Schizosaccharomyces pombe: one gene and its partners. Changing the gene in region 1 together with any one later gene gives a genetic interaction. Each region holds a gene or a part of one and is shown in the gene's direction. Other genes may lie near its edges.

Region 1 (3,756 bases):
TGAATGTTGAATGCCATGCTTGTATTGGTGGTACTCTTGTTCGTGATGATATGGCTGCCTTGCAAGCTGGTGTTCACGTTGTTGTTGGTACACCAGGTCGTGTTCACGACATGATTCAACGTCGTGCTCTTCCTACCGATGCCGTCCAAATGTTTGTTCTTGATGAGGCTGATGAAATGTTGTCCCGTGGTTTCAAGGACCAAATTTACGACATTTTCCAACTTTTGCCTCCTACTGCTCAAGTTGTTCTTCTTTCTGCCACCATGCCTCAAGATGTTTTGGAAGTCACCACCAAATTTATGCGTGATCCCATTCGTATCCTTGTTAAGAAAGATGAGCTTACCTTGGAAGGTATCAAGCAATTCTATGTTGCCGTTGAAAAGGAAGAGTGGAAGCTTGACACTCTTTGCGATCTTTATGAAACCGTCACTGTTACTCAAGCCGTTATTTTCTGTAATACCCGTAGAAAGGTCGATTGGCTTACCGAGCAGCTCACTGAGCGTGATTTTACCGTCTCCTCCATGCACGGTGATATGGACCAAGCTCAACGTGATACTTTGATGCATGAGTTCCGTACTGGTTCTTCTCGTATTCTTATCACCACCGATCTTCTTGCTCGTGGTATCGATGTCCAACAAGTCTCCTTGGTTATCAACTATGACTTACCTGCTAACAGAGAAAACTACATTCACCGTATTGGTCGTGGTGGTCGTTTCGGTCGTAAGGGTGTTTCCATTAACTTTGTTACCAACGACGATGTTCGCATGATGCGTGAGATTGAACAATTCTACAATACACACATTGAGGAAATGCCTATGAACATTGCTGACTTGATTTAAAAAATACAAAAGTCCTTTCTTCTCTTTGTTCTAGATATGGAACGCTCCGTGATTGCTCTTCTCGCAACCCGGCAAACCTCCCGCAACTTAATTTATCTGCTTTTCTTTGCCCATGTTTTTAATGCTTCTTTTATCTGTGCCGGTTGATAGCTGCTCACCATATGGTTTTTTGTGAGTCGTGTTAGTGTTTGCTGAGAAAGGATTTTTTTTTTCGGCTACGCTGTTTATTCATTAGGTCACAAAATAAAAGGCTGGATTTGGTTGATTTACATATATTTACTCTTCTTTTGAGCCTCGTGTAGCTGTTCTGTGATTACTTTTATAAATGTGTTGTAGTTTGGTTAGAAGGTTTGTCGTTTTTTTGTTTTTTGGTAAAACTAAATGAGTGAATAGAGGATGTCAATCTGTATTTTGGATTGAACTTTTATTTACTGCGTATACCTTTGTGGAATTAATTTTTTTGCTCAGAGCTAACGTATTTGTGTTAACCGTAACTGTCCAGTCGTACTTTTGTAAGGAATTAGGAAGTTCCTTTTGCTAAAAGTTAAATGGTCTGTAGTAATAAACAATTCTGCTAGGTAAAAGTTATTATTAATCATTGATCCATTAACCTATTATATTCGCTATGTTTATATTAACTGTGAGATTAAAGGTTGCATCACTTTACGCTCTCAAAAACGTAGCTTTAAACTGCAAACATTATTTGACTAGTTTTAAAGAGTTTGACTTTTAAGTCAATGTAATGAAAGAAAAGAAGAAAACAATGTTTTCCCTGCATCAACAGAGTTAGTTGAAGAGTTTATCGTAAGCAAGTAAAGAAAGTTGAAAGGCGTATAGCAACTTTTGATGCTAACATTGTGCTCATGAACGAGCAGTGGCTTTGAATCTTTGTAGAGTCATTCATCTTTTCAGTTTTTGGCTAACTTATTTATTTTAAGTTGAACATTTTTAATGAATAAAACTTGTAATAGACAGTCTTTTCCATTTCCTAGTCTATCTCTGCTAGCATTCCATCTTTACAAAGCCCTATTTAACGTAACCACGATTAACGCGTTATAAAGTATTTATCAGAATTATATAGCGCTTAAACAACATAACGAATTGCGTTCTTTGATGTTATAGAACTTTGTATTTCCTTATAAATCATTTACAGATTCATGTTCAAAATTCGTTATGTCGTTCTCATGACGACCGTTTGTTTACTAACAAAAGCGTGGTCTTGACGAAAGTGCCTTCTACCATTATTTACACACTTGAATGGGTTGACGCGTACAGTCTTTTCTCTACGGCAATAATTCTTTCTTTAATTTAGCTTAAGAGAAATATAGATTTACGAGTATTTCGTCAATGGGAGTTGTATACGGCAGTCAACAAAATTTAAGTGAATATTTCTATTCTTCTGTCAATATGGCAGAGGTTCCAGATACTTTCGAAGAGAATAGGGGTCATTCTTTTGAAGGTGTGACTCTACAACGAAGGCATGTGAAAGGCATGAAAAGTTATGGTTCAGATATTACACCGAGGCGCCCTAAACAGCTTGGATTACCGAAAGAAGTTAACACCTCCGAATGCATAGATCAAGGCTCATGGAGGAAACCCTCAGCATTTGAAAGCTTAAGAAGTTACTCCCGAAAATTTTCTAAACGAATTTTTTCATTCATAGGAGTTGAGTCAAAAAGTACTGTACAACGCAACGCTTCAGGTGCAGACAGTACGTCGTTGTCTCACTTTACGGCGAATGAGATAAACAAAGGCAACTGTAAAAAAACTGCGTTAAGTAATGAATTTAATTCGGCCAATAAAGGGAGCAAGGCTAGTGGTGTAGGTGCTGAACTACCTTCAGTTAATGGATTTATTGAAGGTGAGCTTCATGATGATAATGAGACAGATTCCTTTCGGATAAATGAATTAGCTAAGCAAATCCAAGAAACTTCTTTGGGTGCGACTACGCAAGAAGATGAGAGTTCGGATGGTATTTGCTGGGACGAGTTATCGACTACTTCGCCAGAGTCGTCGAAAGTGTCGGAACCTATCATTCAAGACAATACGCAAACGACTCATATAAATAACGATTCATCGGATATTCGATTTTCATCTCGTTGCGATTTATTTGCGGACGATGCGGATTCAGATTGGGAGCAGGACTTTAATGTGAAATTCGATAGTCCATTGATAATTCCCGAAACGGTAAACAGTGCAGGACACACCGTTCGAGAACAGCTTTTTGAGGTGAAGGAATTTACGAGATCCATCAAAGGTAAGACATTCATGTGTTGTAATGCTTTAGTTTTAACCGCTGCTAACTAAAAACACAAATAGACTTAAAAGATCTTTACGAAAAGGCAAATTCCAAAGATATTTACGACAAGGACTCAGAGATTTTAGGAGAGGCTAAGGCTATTCTACGGTTAGCGGATCCTGCAAATTATTCTGATTTAAAGGATGAGGACGCGCAAAACATTTTATCAAAATATAAAGTTAAGTTGGAAGGGGATTCTTCATTAGATTTCGATGCGTCCATGCTACCAGGGCTAAACGATCATGTGCATTATTTAATGTCCCAACTCCAACTATTATTACACTGAGTTTCTCTTTTTGGCTATTTAATCCATTAATGGAATGGGAAGTATCTATTTTGTTATCCAAAGTGTCAAAATTTCGCTTAGGATAATTTCAATAATTGTGAGAACAGTTTCGCATTGGTGGATAGCAAGTAAAGGTGAAACTGGCCATTACAACCTTTTTATACTTCTGCATCTTAAGAAGCTTTTGGTTTTATTGTAAATTTCTTTCGTTTTCTCTTTTTAATAAATCTATTTTGCAATAATATTTCGGAAAAAGTACTAGACAGATGTTTTGTCTTTTGTGAATATTAGTCCAACCTTTATTCTGTGATAAAAAGATTTTATTAAATTAA
Region 2 (3,756 bases), on another chromosome or scaffold:
AGGAGAAAAGAGTCTGGTGGTAGAAAAGTCGGAAAACGATAGACGTTTCTGAAAAGATGGTGGAGAAGAGGAATGAGGAGGATAAGTGTCCTCTGAAGAGTCTAAACAAATTCGGCTCTTTCCACCATGGTCTTTCGAGCTCCGATGAAAAAGTTCATTGGAGAGCTTCATAAAAGAAAAAGTGGTAGGGGGAACCACAATCACCAAAAATGACTAGGTCAAAAAAGAACTACAATAATATTTGAAGAATCAAGGCAAGCTAAGGCCAAATAGGAGTCAATTTCAATTGCAATCCAAGAAAGAGAAAGGTCAAAACTAAATGTTGCAGGATGGACAGTGCAACAAAAGAGAAAAGAGAGGTGAAAAAAGATAGAAAAAGGAATTGAGAAAGAAGAGTATAAAAAAAAAGAAAGAAATGCGAAGAGAAATTAATAAATGGAATAAAATAAGGGAAAATAAATTAAAATAGAACAAATTCAGTGTCAATGGAATTCAAAAAATGCAAACCAATCTCGTACGCCCTCAAAAAAAGCAATTTTATAGTAAGCCGGAATGAAAACGATTGATGCTTTCAAAGTTATGCGATGAACCAGAGAAACTCCCGTCCTCTATTAATAAAAGACTTTGACATAAAATTACGAATACAGAAAGAAAGAAAAAAAGAAAGAAAGAATTGTATCGCAATATCAATGCAACAGTCTGTTTATTCGGTTTGTGATGCCACAATAAAAGGGTTAGGGCGGAAGGAATAATATAGGATGATCTGATTGAAACAACCCAAAAAGGAAAGAAAGCTCCCAAGCGTTTCAGAGGAATCAAGTTTCGTAGGTTTATAGACAGAGAAAGAGAGAAAGCAAAAGCAGTATATTATGAAAGGTAATGACTTGATCAAAAAAACAACCTCTTCTAATGAAACGTTTGGGATAAATCAAAATCGATGCCTAAGAAAAGATTATAGGACTTTATGGTTTTTAAATATATGTGTAAATGTTAAATAACTTATAACCCACCACCAAGGGATCTTCGTGGACGGCGAGCGGAGTGGATAAGAAAATGGCTGGTTGTATGTTCGCGACGGAAGAACAAAATTGGTCTTTGACTAGCAAATTTTCCAAATTTAGATTACATGATTTAAACGATAAATAGGGCAAATAAAGTGTACAAAAAGATATTTGATCAATTTATATGATGTTGAGCACAAGCTGAATAGTAAACAATGCGAACGCAATTAAAATAAAATAAGTCAATACAGCATAGTCATAGAAATCGATCAATTGAGGTTATCCGGATTAAAGCTAATTATTTTAGATGATGTTTTTCATATTTGTAAATCGGTAATACAATTATGAGCTGGTCGGACAGAAAAAGTGAGCACATAAATTGCAGCAAGTAGAAAAGCAATAGGCAATATAAAGTAAAGGAGTTCATTCATGACTTCCCTTTTTATATAAGCGTTTTTTTTTTTAGTGGAAAGTCGACCAGGATGCAGTTGAATGTTGATATTAACTTTGTTAGGACTAGTGAAAATTCAGATTTGTACTTTTTTTTTAAGGAGTTCAAGACTTTTTTACTACATATTCAACATTGAAATCACCTTATCTATAGAAGAAGTAGATAAACTTAGCCCAAAACAGCATACTGATGACTTATAGCTTCTCATCCCTTCATAATATTAATGCGGTTTACTGCTGCTGTAACAATTCTTCTGATATATTAAGTATACGTATTTTTCCCTTCGAGGATAATCTTTTCTTAATATACCTGTTGCTCTCTCAAATTGCTAAGCAGACAAGTAAACAAATCAATTGTTTCATTGAACGAACCAGGACGGCTATATAAACTTATTATTATAATTTAAATCAAATTTTAAACATTCAACTCTGGAAACACTAACAAAAGCCTTTTTTTATGTCGCCTTTTAGCATGTGTTTCGAGTGGAAACCCTCCATGCAAAAGAAATTGAAGGTGAAAGCAATATACTAAAGCAAAACATTAATTCATCAAGCAATACGCAATTTACATATTAATGGTCTTTGATTTAGAAAATCGTATAAATTAGAATTTTTCATCATCTTACCGTTATAACGAGTTCGTAGCTACTTTCGCAGAAAGTTTGTGGTCAAATTATCTTGTCTTTTTCTCCACCACCAAACCCTCGTTTTCACGGGAAACATTCAGCATTGTCGATTCGATCGTCAAACTGATTGTTTTTATAGTAGCAATGGATTACCGGCATCCAAATGCACTCGGTGTGAATGAGAGCTCGCGTGCTTATGAGGAAATTTTTGGTGCTCCAAGAAAACGGGAGCCGGCGAGAACTGTAAGTACTCCTGCGTTCATGGAACCGGCTCCAGTCTCAAAAAAACCTCTTCCTCCTCCCACGCGAAGGCTTCCTCGGAAACCTTTGCCCTTTCGTTCCACGAGTTTGCAGCCTCCATCGTCTCAACCTCCTGCACCTCCAACTCATCAGAGAGAAGCATCTCCTGTGAAAAATATTGAGCACAGTGAATCTTTTCCTTCCGTTTTTGGTACTTCAAATAATCACCAGATCGTCCCATTGACTCTTAAAGACGGAAATGATTTTGGTGCTCTATATGCATCTTTAAACACCACACCCCATTTTCCTCAGGTATCGAATCATGCGCCCAATAACTCTAATTCCCCTTCTTTGACTTGGCACACATCATCCGGTGATGATTCCAACCAAAATCCTTTTTTCGTTCGGCGTCAGTCTCAGAGTAGCACGTCTCCGGTTTCGGATTCAGTAGATGAGAACCTCCTTTCAGCAGTCTCTTCTGTTACAGAGTCCGTAGAAACAAACCTTCATCTCGATCAAAATTATCCTTACGGCTCTCCTGTTCGTTCGTCTAAAAATCCCTTTCTCTCTTCAAATTCTCGATTACCAACTGATGATTCTTCTCACACTGTTGGTTCTCATTCATTTACTTCAGGAACTCACCCACCCATTGTTTCTTCTAATTCCGCCTTTACACTTCCCAATGCTGTTACTCCTGCAGCTCAAGCACCTCTCATACGTAGTGTTAGTGAATATCCTGCTAACGTTTCTCCACCTGCCCAGTCCCTTCAGCTACCAAAATCTACTAGCAATCCCGCGGATCTTCATTTAAGCATAGCTTCTGCTAGCAGCCATAAGAATATTTTTTCTGGGTTGGACGTCTTTTCTAATGTCTTTCATGGTCCCTCTACCACATTACGAGACAGAGAACATGATATGCGAAATCGCTCATTTGATCATTCTACCTTGGCTCATTATGAAGCAGTTAAGCAGCAGAGACTTGGTGTTGAACCTACTGCAAGGTCCTTTACGTTGAGCTCTTATAAGTCCCGTGCAAGTGGAAATTCCCTAATTAATGATCGAAGCTCTACAACAACGCCGACGTTTGTTAATTCGGAAGCTAGCTCGCCTGTTCATAAAAATAAACGAAGACGCAGAATATATGCTGCCTTACTTTCTCGTGTTGCCAGCGAATTGTTAGATAGACTACAGCTAGGTGATATCACGAAAGACGGTTTAATTTATTCTAATGCCTTTACTGGCGATCATGCAGTCACCGTGCTAATGGGTATTATACATACTTCTGATAGAAATCTCGCTTTACTTGTCGGACGCTCTTTAGATGCACAAAAATTTATTCATGATGTTACCTATGATCATCGTCTTCGTGATTCTCATCGTGAAATATATCAGCTTCAAGGTACTGGTTATCGCCCCTTCTTACGCGCAAATGATAATGC
Region 3 (3,756 bases), on another chromosome or scaffold:
GTTTGGTATATGATAAAAAGTTAATATTGTGAGTACTCACACTAAAATACTGTAAACTGTGCATTATTATATTTTGGGGCAAAGGATAAATTTTATAATTATATAAAGGTGGTTCACGAACTGTAAACAAATCAACCACCTAGTGTCCTGCAACGTTCCAGATCAGTAATATTATATTCAATTTTAAAATAAGTATTTTGGTAAATTGTTAAAGTGCTTCTTGAAATCATACTGTTGACTTGTGATTGTTAAATGGTCAGGCGTTTCGACGCGGTGCATGAAAAGCAGCATCATCAATCTTTCATTTAAACACTTTTACGTATTTATATAAACCATTAAAAAAGTTATGCCTACAATTGAATTAATTCAAAAGGATTCCAGTAGTCCACAAACGATTGCAATATATAACGCGCACGACATTTTTTCTTTGTAAGTAATTTAACAACAATAAAAGTGTGGTTCATTTCATTCTATGCTTCTTCTTTATTTTTCTTTATTTCCTTCTCATTTTTTAGATAAAAAAATTTTCTGTTGCATTACATGAAATATAAATGCTTATGATGATTATTCGACTTTAATACATTTATCAAAGGCCTTTACCCACAAATCTTTTGTAAGTAACCGTTTCGATTAACCTCTTGGAACAGATATCTATTGTTTGTTTACTGAATTTACAACCTTCACTTGTTATTGCTCAAACCATCACAATTGATCATTTCTGATTATTTTCTTACATAAATTAATGCTCATTTTCTCTTTGATTTTTCTTAAGTGCTAATCCTTTAACTTATTAACCGCGGTAACTCATAAAGCTGATCTACTTCATGAATTCGTAAACTATTTCTTCTGAGATAATAAATACCCGTAGTTTTTTAACGAAATTTGCTCATGACTCAGTGACGAATAGTAGTTTTGAAGCTGTAAAGGATTTGAGGTCCATTGTTAGTATAATAATACACAACTTTTTACAGACGAAAGTAGCTTCAAGCAACAAATCGAATAAGGATTCAGAATTCGAATCAATTGTGTGGAAGTTTGTGCAACTAAGGGTCGTAAAAGAAGATGTAAACTCTGAATTAGCACAACATAGGACCTTAGCGTTCAGTCTGTGAAGAAGCCAAAATGATGCAAGTTAAGCAAAACAAAAAGCAGTTATGAAACTACTCAAAAATGCTCGAATGCCTTTGGTTTCCTTTTTCTCATAAAAAAATAATCGTTATATTATGATAATTCAGTATAGAAGCAACTGTCAGAAATAAAAATAAAAAATTCTGCATGTATTTTTAAGATAATGTATTAAGTGATTTGAGTTTTTATAAACTCCATTTATTTTATCTGAATTCAACCCTACTGAACTTGCAAGACGTACGTAGTCTGGGAAACACAGTGGGAAAGTACTTAAATACTTTTTGGGAAACTTGAACAGGTAGTTAAAATCAAAGTCACTCATATTGTCTATGATAATTTCAAACATCTATAAGGACTCTTGTTATAACATAGACTTCGTAAATGTGTAAAAGCCTTAGCATGAGCAGCGAGCAGCTCTAGTATAATAGTCGTTGTAAAATTCAGTGCCTAAACCTACACCTAAGAATAACTATCCAAAAGGAGCATAAAGTGTAGCATTAAAGAGAGATAAAACAAAAATACAGATTATTCTCTAAACGAAGATCTAAAGTCATTTTCGGGGTGTGTACTGAAATCGGTTTCCCAAATGACTTCATGTCTTAGTCGCTATAAAAATTAGGGTCTATTTTGGCCCCTATATCAAGCTGGAGTTTAGCATTTCTGACTTGGATTCCATGGTGTGCAGTCTCCTCTTAGGTGGAAGTCGGACCAACAACCACCAACATACCGCAACAATAGTTAGTCTCTGAAAAAAAATAGCTTCAAAAGCTATAGGCTTAGTTATTTGAGGTCTTACATATTATTAATTTCACTCTTTTAAAAACTGAAGGAATTGAGTCCCATAAGGTTTTCTTGGGGGTGATTTTCGAACGGAAATATCCCAAAGAGGATTAACTAGTCATACTGGTTTATTAAGTGATAAAGGCGTTTAATATAGAAGCTAAGGTTCGTTCAAACAGCAAGGACAGTATGTCCCAAAGGGACGCCAAAAAAGATGGGTTGCTGTACACAACGAATGGTGTATCACCAACACCACCGAAACGAATTCCTGTTCCTTCCCGTCAAAATAAGATAGAAGAGAATTCTACAACGAAGAATTTCCCCCATTCTCGACATACAAGCACTGTTGCTGGTACTGAGGGTGGCAGCTCACTTTCTCGGAGGCATACCTCTGCTGAGTCTCGAAAAGCGTTGCCTAATCAGCAACAATTAGCCCAATCTGGTTTGCTTAATAAAGAGGAGCAGCAAAGTCTAAAGCGATCAGATACTTCTGTATTTCCTAAGGCTGTAAGGAAAGTTTCTTCATCAAAGATATGTGCTTCATGTGGACAAGTTATATCCGGACAATATGTACGTGCTCTTGGAAATATATATCACTTAGAATGTTTTCGATGCCATGATTGTAATTCTTTAGTTGCTTCAAAATTTTTTCCTATTGATGATCCCACTCTTAACAAGCAAGTGCCTTTATGTGAAACAGATTATTTTCGGCGGCTTGACTTACTTTGTGCAAGTTGTGGAATGGCCCTTCGAGGTTATTATATTACAGCTTTGAATAAAAAATTTCATATAGAACATTTCACTTGTTCCTTATGTTACACTGTTTTTGGTCCGAATGATTCTTACTATGAATATGAGGGCAAAGTGTATTGTCATTATCATTATTCAACACTTTTCGCTGCACGATGTTGCGGTTGTGATGGTCCAATTTTAAGGCAATTTGTTGAAGTTTACAGAAATGGGGTATCTCAAAATTGGCACGTTCCTTGTCATATGATCTACAAGTTTTGGAATGTTAAACTTTGTCAAAAGACATCCATAGAAACTTCTAAAAAGAAGGATTCTGAGCTTTCTCAATCACAATTACGCAAACGGGAAAAACATTTAGAACAGAAAATATTTCATATTTGGCATGCACTCTCTTATTTTGAGGAGTATACAGCTTCGTGTATCAGTGATATGCTTCTCCTTGTTTCAAATGGAGAATTCACAAAAAGTGTTATTTGTGCCCAAAAATTTATTCGTTATATCGAGATACTTTTTAAAGGCATTGATTCGCTAGAAACTATACTTTCAAGTTTTCATGCTAAAAGTATGCCTTATGTTCGTGAAGCTAAGTTGCTTTGCAAGAAGCTAGTTTCAATATTTGCTTTACTTGCTAAATGCCATAATTCGGATATTCGCGACGTTGCTATTGTTCAAGACTTTTTATCACTCTTTACCGGTTTAGCTCATTACCTCAAGTTACTTATTCGGATATCGCTTACGGGAGGTTTACGACTAGAACAAGATCATGCTTGTAAGCATGCTCTTCCCCAGTTTTTACAGACCGTAGAAGAAGCTCGATTTGTCGATCAAGAAGGATATGATAGTTCTTCGTTTGATATGCCTTTAAATTTGGCCAATGCCAGCTCCGATTTATGCTATGTGTGTCATTCTGCCTTGGAGGAAGACTGTGTTCTCCTGGGTGAAATTCGCTGCCATATTGGCTGTTTGTCATGTACTAAATGTAAATACAACAATCGGGAGAATTACGATTGGGCGCGCTGGAACAACCAAACGAAACAAATAGAATGTTATTTATGTTATACTGAATCATCCAACGTTAGTAACGACGAACCTCATCCG

The links.
Region 2: of etd1 (region 1) and rgf1, extra expression of one rescues a mutant of the other (dosage rescue), as found in Schizosaccharomyces pombe (one study listed by BioGRID).
Region 3: of etd1 (region 1) and rga1, a mutation in one rescues a mutant of the other (synthetic rescue), as found in Schizosaccharomyces pombe (one study listed by BioGRID).

Annotation. Positions count from the first base shown.
Region 1 is NC_003424.3:5,085,903-5,089,658, forward strand, and holds etd1 (Spg1-binding protein Etd1), read left to right. Parts: upstream 1-2,076; 5' UTR 2,077-2,186; coding exon 2,187-3,096; exon of another isoform or gene 3,097-3,158; coding exon 3,159-3,424; 3' UTR 3,425-3,736; downstream 3,737-3,756. Other genes in the region: translation initiation factor eIF4A Tif1, read left to right, coding at 1-839. UniProt on the Schizosaccharomyces pombe protein: Involved in septation.
Region 2 is NC_003421.2:1,243,042-1,246,797, forward strand, and holds the start of rgf1 (RhoGEF family guanine nucleotide exchange factor Rgf1), read left to right. Parts: upstream 1-2,144; 5' UTR 2,145-2,221; coding exon 2,222-3,756. Other genes in the region: RhoGEF for Rho1, Rgf3, read right to left, coding at 1-171. UniProt on the Schizosaccharomyces pombe protein: Stimulates the exchange of Rho1 and Rho5 GDP-bound form into GTP-bound form. Controls septum formation, cell wall synthesis and localization of F-actin patches. Coordinates actin deposition with cell wall biosynthesis during bipolar growth.
Region 3 is NC_003423.3:4,194,198-4,197,953, forward strand, and holds the start of rga1 (Rho-type GTPase-activating protein Rga1), read left to right. Parts: upstream 1-1,849; 5' UTR 1,850-2,097; coding exon 2,098-3,756. UniProt on the Schizosaccharomyces pombe protein: GTPase-activating protein for Rho1. Involved in the F-actin patch localization, cell morphogenesis, regulation of septation, and cell wall synthesis.